Linked DNA regions of Macaca fascicularis. The protein of the gene in region 3 purifies or fractionates together with the protein of the main gene of each other region. This does not show direct contact. Links are inferred from orthologs where the notes say so. Each region holds a gene or a part of one and is shown on either strand. Other genes may lie near its edges.

What was found. The genes of interacting proteins can lie anywhere in the genome.
Region 1: the proteins of SINHCAF (region 3) and ING2 purify together in Homo sapiens (affinity purification with mass spectrometry; 3 studies listed by BioGRID and IntAct, counting the BioPlex papers as one, with this or other methods). This does not show direct contact. The link is inferred for Macaca fascicularis from reciprocal best matches to the Homo sapiens genes SINHCAF and ING2.
Region 2: the proteins of SINHCAF (region 3) and ARID4B purify together in Homo sapiens (affinity purification with mass spectrometry; 3 studies listed by BioGRID and IntAct, counting the BioPlex papers as one, with this or other methods). This does not show direct contact. The link is inferred for Macaca fascicularis from reciprocal best matches to the Homo sapiens genes SINHCAF and ARID4B.

Annotation. Positions count from the first base shown.
Region 1 is NC_088379.1:188,295,847-188,299,851, forward strand, and holds the start of ING2 (inhibitor of growth protein 2), read left to right. Parts: upstream 1-1,194; 5' UTR 1,195-1,351; coding exon 1,352-1,523; intron 1,524-2,372; exon of another isoform or gene 2,373-3,168; coding exon of another isoform or gene 3,169-3,175; intron 3,176-4,005. UniProt on the Homo sapiens protein: Seems to be involved in p53/TP53 activation and p53/TP53-dependent apoptotic pathways, probably by enhancing acetylation of p53/TP53. Component of a mSin3A-like corepressor complex, which is probably involved in deacetylation of nucleosomal histones.
Region 2 is NC_088375.1:13,791,583-13,795,681, forward strand, and holds the start of ARID4B (AT-rich interactive domain-containing protein 4B), read left to right. Parts: upstream 1-1,288; 5' UTR 1,289-1,688; intron 1,689-2,487; 5' UTR 2,488-2,536; coding exon 2,537-2,542; intron 2,543-4,099. UniProt on the Homo sapiens protein: Acts as a transcriptional repressor. May function in the assembly and/or enzymatic activity of the Sin3A corepressor complex or in mediating interactions between the complex and other regulatory complexes.
Region 3 is NC_088385.1:33,857,279-33,860,789, reverse strand, and holds part of SINHCAF (SIN3-HDAC complex-associated factor), read left to right. Parts: intron 1-929; coding exon 930-1,056; intron 1,057-3,511. UniProt on the Homo sapiens protein: Subunit of the Sin3 deacetylase complex (Sin3/HDAC), this subunit is important for the repression of genes encoding components of the TGF-beta signaling pathway.

The DNA.
Region 1 (4,005 bases), on a different chromosome or scaffold from region 3:
GGCCGAGGGCCCGCCCGCTGACTAGGTTTTTACTCGCGTCTGCATGCCCCAGGTCCCCTCCGATTGTAGTCCTGGGGCAGGACCAAGCAAAAAGTCCCGTAAAGCTGGCGTGTGCCCCACTCCGCCAGGAAGCCCCGCCGACGTCCTGTGTTTAAATGTTCTGACACACCCCAAACGCAGTTGTTTTTAAAGGCTGTCTGTGGGACCTATGTGTTGGCAGGCAGATGCCGTCCCGCATCCCTTCCCCCTAAATGACATAGAAGATTCCAGCGCAGGGGAAGGGCCACGAAACCCGCAGGGCACACGACGCCGGGGGCCGGAGGAAGCACCGCCTACCTCCCCGATCAGCCCCACGGTGCCGGACGAGCCCGAGGGCCCGGCAGGAGGAGGGCGGCAGCCCCAGGCGAGCTCGGAGGCGGCGGGAACGCCTTGCCGCGCATGCCGGGAGCCGCCCGCCGCCTGCCGCCCGCTGCCCGCCGGGACGCGCAGTCCTGCAGGCCTCGCTCCGGGTCGTCCGAAAAAAAGGAACCGCCTGCTGCTCCTTTGCAGGGGCGCGAGGAGCCGCACTCGGACCGCCGGATGGGTAAAAAGCCGGTGTGGCCGGGCGGAGCTGCCCCTCCCCGCGGGGAGGGCGGCCGGAAGGACCGAGCCGCCTCCCCTGCCGGGTCCCATTCAGACGCGGGGCGCAGAGACTGGCTCCCCAGGCTTCCCCTTTAAGGGGGGCGGGGCGCGGCCTGCCGTTTGGCCGCCCCCGACACCCTCCCCCCCTAGCCCGGAGCCGGCAGACCAATCGCCCGGGCGGCAAAGCGAAGGCGGGAGAATGCGAACCCTCCGGTAGGCGGTAGGGGCGGGCCCCGGCCTTATTGGGATCGAGCGCTGCGCAGGCGCAGAGGCGGCCGCGGGCGGAGGGGCGGGGGCAGGCCAGCGGGAGGCTCCCCGTCAGGCACGGAGGGTGACTGGGGACAGGCAGGCGGCGACGGGCTTGTCATGGGGATCCGGGCTGCGAGACGGCACTGGTAGCATCTGGGGACTCCGAGGGGGACAGGAAGTGTCAGCGTCCGGGACCCCGGCGCCGGCCCCGCTGAGGGGATCCCCACTGCTCCGGTCCTGGAGCGGGAGGGGAGAAAGGAGGGAGCCCCAGTTTCGCCCCGCCCCTGGGCTGGTGCTGCGGGGGCGGGGAGTGAGGGCTGCTCTGGGGGGAGTGGAGATCGGGGAGCGCGGCCGTGCCCTCTCGAGCGGCTGCGGGGTCCCCGCGGCGCCGGGCTGCTGAGCTGAGGGACCGCGGCGGCCGCGGCCGGTGCATGTGCGGCTGCTGGATGCGGAGGCGGCGGCGACGGCGCGCATCGGCAGGATGTTAGGGCAGCAGCAGCAGCAACTGTACTCGTCGGCCGCGCTCCTGACCGGGGAGCGGAGCCGGCTGCTCACCTGCTACGTGCAGGACTACCTTGAGTGCGTGGAGTCGCTGCCCCACGACATGCAGAGGAACGTGTCTGTGCTGCGAGAGCTGGACAACAAATATCAAGGTAGGGGCCGCGGGGCTGCCGGCCTCGGGAGCCGGTGGCAGGGAGCCTGCCGGGGCAGTGCCACCTTCCCTTTCTCCCGTGACAGTCTCCCCGAGCCCACCGAGGGTCTGCCGAGCGGGACGGGGAGGACTGGAGACTGGGTTCGCGGCCCTCCTTGCCCCGCGGTGGGCGAGTACTTCTCTGGGGTCCCCGGAGTGGGGGTGGGGGCTGTTCGTCAGCCCCCGCTGCAGACCCAGCGGCTGCAGCTGCCGCGGAGGGGAATCAGCCATTTTAAGCAGCAAGCATTTGTTCAGGCGCTCGCCTGCCCCGTGCCGCAGACCCTGCCGCCCCGGCCCAGGACTGCAGCCGGGCAAGGGCCAGAGGGAGTGAGCGGCCGGGCTCCCGCTGGTCTGCGGGGCGCACTTCCCCACCTCACTCGCCCCCACCCCGGAGTGCGGGTGCTTTGGAACGTGCGGGAGGGAGGGGGCGAGAGGCCGCGGAGGCAGATTGAGGGGGCCTTCCTCCGCGCTCCTACCCCGGCCGGGAGGAGAGCAGTCCGTTCCGCTCTTTTGCCCCGGGAAAGTTCTCGGCCGCCCCGAGCCGCAGCCCTAGCCCAGCTCTTTCGGCAAAATGGTTAAGAGGGGAGGGGTCCCCCGCGGGAGAGGAAGAGAGGGGCGTGTGTGGCGGGGAGGGCCCCCGCGCCGGGGGCGGGGCCTGCGGGTGTGACGTGGGAGTGGGAGGGGCGCGGCGCGCGTTCCCGCGGGCCTGGAAAATGGCTGGTTGCGAGAGGGGCGGCGGCGAGCCGGCTGCTGGGGAGGGAGTCGAGGCTGTGCGAGGGCGTTGGTTCGGCCCCAGCGGAGTCCGAGTCGGGGTTTGCAGCATGTTTTGCGGTGATGTTTCCAATCTCTTTCCCAACCAATGGATCAGGACGGAGATTAGCAGCTCAGAGGGTCTCGGACCCTGGCTCCGCGTAGGTTCCGGGACATGTGTCACTTCCGGGCTTCAGGAGGAAGTGGGTTGGTTGACTGGGCAACCGCCTGGCGTCCCCAAGCCCCTCCTTCTCCGACTTTTAAGTGTTAAGGCGAAACCACCCTTTACGGGCCGACCCGGGAAGCCGGGACAGAATCCGACCTTCCTTACAGTGTTATCACCTACTATCGGTGGTGCTACTAGGAGGGCAGTTTAAAAGGGGAAATGTGTTGCGCTTAATAACCTTGAATCGAGGAACAGACCTTGAACATAGTATGGAAACAGCCATATGAACTTTAAAGATAATTTCCTGGACCCATTCTCTGTTTTTGTTAACACGTCAGTAATCCTGTAGTTTAAAAGTCTCTAAAGGAATCCACTTCTTGGGTGACATAAGTGTCTCTGATTTTTTTTAGTTGATAAATTTGTGTTTTCTGAATCCATGGGATTCATAGGACTGATCCGCGTTTGGGGGAGGGGTGGGGGGGAGGGAATTCAAACTGATGCGCTGAGTCCAGACCATTATATAAATATTTCTTTTACAGATTAGAAAGAGTTTAAGTAACTCGTCCAGTTAATTAGATGTAGAATATTTGGCTCCAGCTCCTGCAACTTTAGATGCATATCCTTGTTTTCAAACAATTTAAATTTTAATAAAAACTGTCCAAGGGGATTTCTGCAGATATGGAGCACAAACATGAATGGTAACCTAAAAATGATACGTGCTTAATAATTGTATATTGAACCTTTCTAGTTTTTCAAATAACACTAAAGTTTGTAAAGTTTGCAGTTGCTGTTGTTGTTGTTGTTGCTTCAGACAGAGTCTTGCTCTGTCCCCTAGGCTGGAGTACAGTGGCTGGATCTTGGCTCACTACAACCTCTGCCTCCCGGGTTCAAACGATTCTCCTGCCTCAGCCTCCCGAGTAGCTGGGATTACAGGCACCTGCCATCACGCCCCTCTAAGTTTTGTATTTTTAGTAGATACGGAGTTTCACTATGTTGGCCAGGCTGGTCTTGAACTCCTGACCTCAGGTGATCCGCCCGCCTCTGCCCCACAAAGTGCTGGGATTACAGGCGTGAGCCACCGCACCCAGCAAGCTTGCAGGTTTTTACATTTCTTTGAAGACACGTTTCCTTTCACAAGAGTTAAGCTATTTGAAGTTGGTAAGGGATACTATAATTTGTTGACAGGGAAATCTGCTTTCGGATCATCTATAATTGTGATGTATTAATAGCTCTGGTAAGATTAGTAATATAGTAGGCCTTACAGGACTAAGAGATTATAAAAATTCTTAGCTCCATGAAGATTGTGATCAATGATTAAAAACTCATCCAGTTTTCACTCTTTGCGCATGGTTACTGAGCTCAACTTTCAGTTTTATGTTTATATATATTTTGTGTTTTGGGTTCAGATTTCATGTTTTTTATTTCTTCACTAGTGCTTAAGTCTTTTCTGGTTTTGGATCTAATATTTCTAGCAATATTTAGTGATATAAATCATATAGGCAGTCAAATAAATTTCTCTCTCACCTAC
Region 2 (4,099 bases), on a different chromosome or scaffold from region 3:
TCCTATCACCGCGGAACTCTCCTCTGGGGCACTGCCACTGCGGTAATTTCACATTGTTTTGTTCAGCATCTGTCCATCTCGCCAGGCGCAGGTCTACGAAGGCAGAGGCCACCCCAGTGGTCGGCGCTCAGCAGCCATGAAAAAAAGAAAGCGCCTTCTAACGCGTTGGACGATGAAACCAGGGCAACAACCTTGCGTCTAAAAAGCGAACATCCCATGCAAACGACTTATCTTTTCAAAAGGAAGGGCCTGGTTTGAGAATGGCTAAACAGAGACATACAAATGTGAAGCGCACCCTGAATCCTTCCACTCATACTCCGGGAGAAAGACGATGGATCTCAAAGAGCCTGATATAAGCAGGGAATTTCTATCACTTCGAGGCCGATTTTCCACAGCGGCTGGGCAGAGAACTGCAAACGTCTACAGTGCTAGCACAGAGTCCGGAGGGAGAGAAACCGTGAGGTTTCTGCTTCCTCCTCGCTCAGATGCTCCCTTCCGCCGCATTTGGCCAACCCTTCCTCCTCCTCCCCGCTTAAAGCTAGGGGATGGAAAATTCATACACAATCCGGTTCAGCATCCGGGTCCTCACTCTCCTTTCTTTCTTTCCTCTCTGCCCCGCCTCCCAGCCTCCCCCTCCCTCCTTCCCATCCGGGTTCCCCCCAGCCGCCGCCACTGCTGCTCACAGTTCAACGATGATATCACGACTTTCACGCCGCCGGTCCGGCAGTAGCTGTATCCCGCATTAACCTCCTATTTTATAGTGTGGGCTTAGGCTCTTCCCGATGCCTACATGAATCCCTCCCACTACTTCACCACACAACTCTCCGCCCTCCTCAGCCGCCAGCGACACCGCATTACTCGGTGCAAGAAAATGCGCCATCCCGGTCACACTGCGCAGGCGTCGTTGCCACCTCCCTACTGCTTTGTTGCCCCGCCCCTTTCACCCCTCCTCCTCTCCGGTCCACGCTGGCGCAGGGCATTGCGGGCCTTGCAGTTCTCGCGGACGAGGATTTGCGCGTTGGCCCCAGAGGCTGGACTTCATTTCCCAGGAAGCCTTGAGGCGTAACTCTCTGTTTCCATAGAACTGGTGGGAAAATGGCGTCGTTGTTTGTATCCAGCGACCAATAGGAACAGTGTATAGGCGGGTTCTAAAGAATTTTAACCAATCCAAGGTTGTCTAAGAGGCCATCCGGGAAAGAGGTAGGGGAGGGGGAAAAAATCTAGGGGAGGGGAGAAAGGAAGGGGGGGGACCTAGAGTCGGGGTGGGGGGAAGCGATGTTTGCCCGTCAGTCGAGTCCGGAGTGAGGAGCTCGGTCGCCGGAGCGGAGGGAGAGTCTTGAGCTTCAGCTTGCCGCCGCCACGGCCACCGCCTGGACCTTTGCCCGGAGGGAGCTGCAGAGGGTCCATCGCCGCCGTCCTCTGGAGGGCAGCGCGTTTGGGGGCCCGGACCTCCAGTCCGGGAGGGATTTTTCGTCGTCCCCCTCCCCCCAACCAGGGAGCCCGAGCGGCCGCCAAACAAAGGTACCAGTCGCCGCCGCGGGAGGAGGAGGAGCCGGAGCCTCTGCCTCAGCAGCCGCTGGACCCGCCGCCCTTCTTCCCCATCTCTCCCCCAGGCCTACTGGTTTTGGGGGGGAGGAGGAGAGAGGGAACTCTGGACGTGCCAGGGTCAGATCTCGCCTCCGAGGAAGGTAGGGACATTTTCTGGGGCTTTCGTGGTCTCCTAAAGGGGTTCTTTTGGGAGTCGCTGGGCCCGACCGAGGAGCAGAGGAAGATCGCGGTGGTGGTCCCTGCGGCACCCGAATTCGGGGCCTCGGCCTTCCGGGAGCCCCCACCCCCCGCAGCCGCTGTGTCCGAGCCGCCCCCTGGCTGGGCGGCCGCACACTCAGCGGTTTAGCGGCCGCGGTCGGGGGCCCGGGCAGGGTGGGGGCCGTTCCGCCTCCGGGGCCCTCGGCCCTCACGTTGTCCCTGCGGCGAGGCCAGATGTTGATCCCGCTCCCACTTGTCGGGTCTGCGCCCGGAACGGGACGTGGGCAGGGGCTCTGCAGCGGGCCGGTCCAGCCCGCGGCCCACAGGCCCTCCTGGGCCCTCGGTGGCCCCCGGCGGGCCTCCACCTCGGACGCGGCGCATGGGGGCGCGGACTCGCTCGGCCGGGCGCTGAGGCCCGCGGGGAGAGCGGCCGGCCCCACGCCGGACGCCGGGCTTGTTGTGAGTTTCTTCTCTGACAGAAATGGCGTCATTGTCGTAGACGGGAAACTCCGTCGGGTCTCGACAATGGGGACGGGAAGCTGCCGAGCTGTGTAGGTGGCTGGGTTTGCGGGGATGGCGGGGCCAGAGGGAGCCCCGAGTCGGCGTGTGATGGTTCGGGGGCTGGCGCCTGGTGCGGCTCTTTCTTCGGGGTTCGGGCGTCGCTCGGTTCCTTCCCTCCGCCTCCGCCAGTGCAGAGGGGTGCCTGTGGTGTTGACTGGGTGTCTTTTGTTTCCCCTCCAGGTGCAGGTGAACCCGGTGTTTTAAAGAATATCTCGGTCCCAGAGTCATCATGAAGGTAAGATTGCCTGCAGAATACGAATCTCTGGGGTTATCGAATTCAGGAAGTAGGGGGTTTGGACGAGGTCGTCGTGTGGGGCTTCCGAGTTTTGCAGAGGAAGGTGTGTTTGGTGGCTTGGTGACCGAGCCCTTCCCCAGAGAGACCGGGGTCAGCTGGCGGGCTTTGCTGTGGAGTTGGAGGCAGTTACAGGATATCTCAACTGAAGATGATTCTCCCATATTGAACCCCTCTTTTTGTAGGGAATGAGAGGAATAACGGCATGAATTAAAGTGTTTTAAAAGGTAAAATAAAAAGCAGGTCAGGTAATCTGACCCTGGAAACTGAACTGTATTGTGGTTCTATCAGTTACACTGATGAAAGAAAATCTTATCTATTGTGTGAACAGTACTGTAAAATTTTAGCAGAAAACTCTTTGATTCGTCACAAACATAATTTAATTGAAAGATTTAAAAAGATAATTTTGGTGATCTTTACACAGTTCAGAGATACCAATTGTTTCTTGTATTTCCAGGCACTTGGGGTTATGTGGTTTATTTTTCTTTATCGATCTGGTTGGTCTGCAAATAAGTCAGAGGCTCTGTTGCATTATGATGTGTGGAAAACTGATGGCCAGGTTCCTCTTAGACGTAAACATGTTAACTGAGTGGAGAATAGGGTCAAAAAATTTGCTTAATTGTTGGAAGAAATGATAACCATAAAAATACAGTTTTTTTGGTCACGAGAGAATATGTATATGAATGCTGTCTTTTTTGTTTTAAACACATGCTGGAATGAAACCTTAGATTTTTGAAAAGTCTAGATTCAACTGGTGGAACTTAGACACTAGCTTGTATTTTTTCATCCATTACAAATTCAAAAGTGCTTGAAAAGGGTAGAGTGTTCACAAGTGTAGAAATGCAACAGATAGCATGTTAGAATATCAACGTTATCTACTTTTGACAGTTTCTTTGAACTATTTTAAAAAAATTTCACTTGTCCTCAGAATCAAGACGACTTGGACAGTACTGCATCCAAATTAAAATTTGTAATACCTGTGGTTGCAGAAGGTAAAAGCTGTGGCTACTTAAATTTTGGTCTACTATACAGAGTAATTAAGTGTAGTCTAATTTTTTTTAAGGTTTTCTCTTTGAGTTTGGGATGCTGTAAACTACCTGAAACAGTTTATTCCTATCTCATTTTCACGTAAAAGAAAACAGCATCGACATGTTTCAGGAATGAATCCCTTTTGTTAGTCACAAATCCTAGCTATAACTCTCGTGACCTGTGTAAAACAGTGAAAAGTGCATTTATTAGGTCACTCATATATGTACCTTGATGTTGGGTGAGAATTTCTTAAGAAAAGTTTTGGTTTGAATAATAATAAGTTCAGAAGCTGAATAAATAAAAGGTTTAGTTTGGAGTAAATGTAATCTGTCACAGTTCCCAGTGTTGTAGTGCCTGTCACTTCTTAGGTGCCCTATAAATGTTTGGTTAAAAGAAATGTAGTTAGGTTGAAAGTCTTTGAGATTAAAATTTTTTTTTTCTTCCTTTCGTTTCCTTTTTTTAAAAACTAGT
Region 3 (3,511 bases):
TGAATTTGAATTTTGCTTTTACCACTACTAGTTGTGGACTTTGGGCAGGTTACATTTATTTATGAAGTGCAAAGATAATAGCTCTGTTACAGAGCAGCTGTGAGAACTGGATGAGATGATATGTAGAAGGTATAACACATAGTTATCATTCACACTAGCCTTACATTGTCCTTTGATAACAGTGTTATGCTATTATAATAGGTCATGATTTTGAAGATGGTAACAACGTTCCTTTTTACATGGGGTAGAAATCTGCAACTAATAAATGTGAATGAATACCTAAGAAACAGGGCCATATGGGGCGAGATCAATGGCTGGGCTAGACTGTGGGAGAACATGCTATTGCTGTCATATAACTCACCTCAGAGATTAAGGTGTGTAGTGAAAAAAGCATAAAGACCTGAAGACCTTGATTCCAGTCTTTTCCCCTCTCCACCCCTCTTAACCCATTTACTTGCTTGGTAAAATAAGGCAAAATGCATAATTTCTCTTTGCCTTGTTTTCCTTCCGTCTAAAATTGGAGTAACAAAAATAGCCCTGTTTATTGCTTTGTATTGAAGATAAAAAGTATTTGAAAGCTTTTCATAAACTGCAAAACATTATCCTGTAGAAATGGAGTTGTTTTTAGGTTTGATTCTTAACCTAGTTGGGTCATCCAGTAACGATTATCCCATATACAAATCTATTTAAATTTTTTTCCAACAGACTCCCACTATTACCCACTTCACAGGAAAGAGTATCTTAAAAAACCCCACTAGATAAATATTATTTATTCCCTTATGTCATGTGATGATTAAAGGTGCACATGGAGGAGTTTCACCCTCTTTTCAGTGTAAAACTGTGGTTCTCAAATAGGCACGGATCTGAACCAAAGGGATACACTAGTATCATTTTAAAAATATTATTAAATATTCAGTATTTTCTTCCAGGTGGTAGATGCAAGGGCTGGACCCAGTCTAAAGACTACATTGAAACCAAAGAAAGTGAAAACTCTATCTGGGAACAGGATAAAAAGCAACCAGATCAGTAAACTGCAGAAGGAATTTAAACGTCATAGTAAGTTTGATATTACAACATTAGTACTTAATAATTGTTCTGTTATTTTTGGCTGGGGGTGGTGTATGGCATGTGTGGATCATTTTTTCCTTTATTGCTTTTCATAAAGAGCACTGGAAGGCAATATTGACTTGGTAGAGATGTTACCTTATTTCTGTGAAATCTTAGCACTCTTTCTGATGATGATGTCTTGAGAGTATTTCTACTAGCTAACCACTTCAGATTGTACTGAGACCACTCTGATGTCTTTACTGACATCTTAATTTTCTAGGAGGTGCATTTCTAGCTCGTTTACTTGATTTTTATCCATAAGGAAATTGAGTCCTGCAGATGTGCAAGAAGGTACGTAAATAATTAGGGGACAATCTGAGACCAAAGCTCAGGTTTTCTGGAAAGTAACTTTAGAAATCATAACTCACATTTTGAAATACAGCCAACCTCAGGGCTTGCTTTCAGGTTTAAGGGGCAGTGTGTTGTGTTGATAGAGTAAGAAAGGAATGTCTAATGTCAGGTCACATGCTGTTATTGGAAGTTTTGGGGGATTGCTGTAGTGGCACGTCTGTATTTTGGAATTTAGATTTTAGATTTTGAAAAGGAAATACACTGCATATAATGTTATTGTCTAATAAATATCTCTATTACCCTTGGGGTTTGAAGGAGCATTATTGAACCAAACACATTAGTATTTTTACAGCAAAAAGTAGCAGTATTCACATTTAGTGGAATAAATAGATGGTACATAGGCTAGTCAGGTTTGTTTGCTTATAATCATAGTGTAGGTCATGTCAGATTTTGTGGCCAGATAGGTTAGGAATACACTTTGTGTTTCCAGAGCTTTCCCAGAATTGCCGCTAGGGGTTGTGGACCTGTATTGTAGCTCTCAGTACTTATAAAAATCTATAGGGCCCTGTTAGAGAAAACATTATCAATCAAGACAAATGGTTATCATGCTTATTTTAGAATAATGGAAAAAGACATTTAAGTTTAGTGACAGTAAAGTGAGGAGTGCAGGAGAACTCACATTTTTTGAGCATTTTGGTATACTAAGCACTTTACGTATGTAATGATCTCACTTATTTCCATTTTAGAGCTCAGAATAGGAAGCACGAAGGGGTGATTTAACCTTGATCTGGGCCACTTAATAAGTGGTAGAGATGTAGTAATATATTTAGGTAATATAAATGTGTATATGTATTTTAATTATACATTTCCCTTTCCTAACCAGCTCTCAACCCCGCATCTCCCTAAAGATTTAACACTACCTTCCTTTCTCACTAGATGTTTTGTTTTATTTATTTATTTATTTATTTATTTATTTATTTATTTGAAACAGGGTCTTGCTCTATCACCCAGGCTGGAGTACAGTGGTGTGATCTTGGATCACTGCAGCCTCCGTCTCTCGGGTACAAGCAATTTTTGTGCATAAGCCTCCCGAGTAGCTGGGACTACAGACATGCGCCACCGTGCCTGGCTAATTTTTTGTATTTTTAGTAGAGCTGGGGTTTTGCCATGTTGCCCAGGCTGGTCTCAAACTTAGCTCAAGCAATCCACCCACCTCGGCTTCCCAAAAGTGCTAGGATTACATGCATGAACCATCATACCCGGTCCTCACTAGATGTTTTAATGAACATTTGGGAAACACTAATTTTCTTTTATCACTTGAAGGCGGAGGAACTGATTATTCATATGTATATTCTTAGCCCTTTCCCTTAATTATAGGGAAAGTGATATCTCACTTTTGCCTTACTTAAGGGAATATATTCAGTGCAATTTTAGATTTTTATTGTGAAACTGTGCTGTGTAGTAGTTGGAGACTGAAAATAAATTCCTTTTATAATAAGGTGTGTGGATTGTGGAGGCTCAAACTGAAACAAGGTGTTCACCAGGTACATTATAAATTGCTAGCACCTTTGTGCATTGAAGCAGTTGGGAGACATGTGCATTTTTATATATCACCCACTAAAGGGTCTGCGCTTCTGGTTATGTGTTTGCTTCTGTGCATCCTGCACATACCTGGCCTGTATTCTCTTATCTTTCGTTCTTTTTTTTTTTGAGATGGAGTCTTATTCTGTCACCCAGGCTGGAGTGCAGTGCCGCTATCTCAGCTCATGGCACTATCTCAGCTCACTGCAACTTCTGCCTCCTGGGTTCAAGTGATTGTCCTGCCTCAGCCTCCTGAGTAGCTGGGATTACAGGCACCTGCCACCATGCCCAGCTAATTTTTGTATTTTTAGTAGGTACAGGGTTTTGCCATGTTGGCCATGCTGGTCTTGACCTCCTGACCTCAGGTGATCTGCCCTGCTTGGCCTCCCAAAGTCCTGGGATTACAGGCCTGAGCCACCTTGCCCAGCCCTGTATTCTCTTTTCGAGACATTTTGTGGTGTACTGGAAAGGCATTGGACCTAGAGTTACAGATCTGGATTTGAATTTTGGCTCTTCTCACTAGCAGATGTGT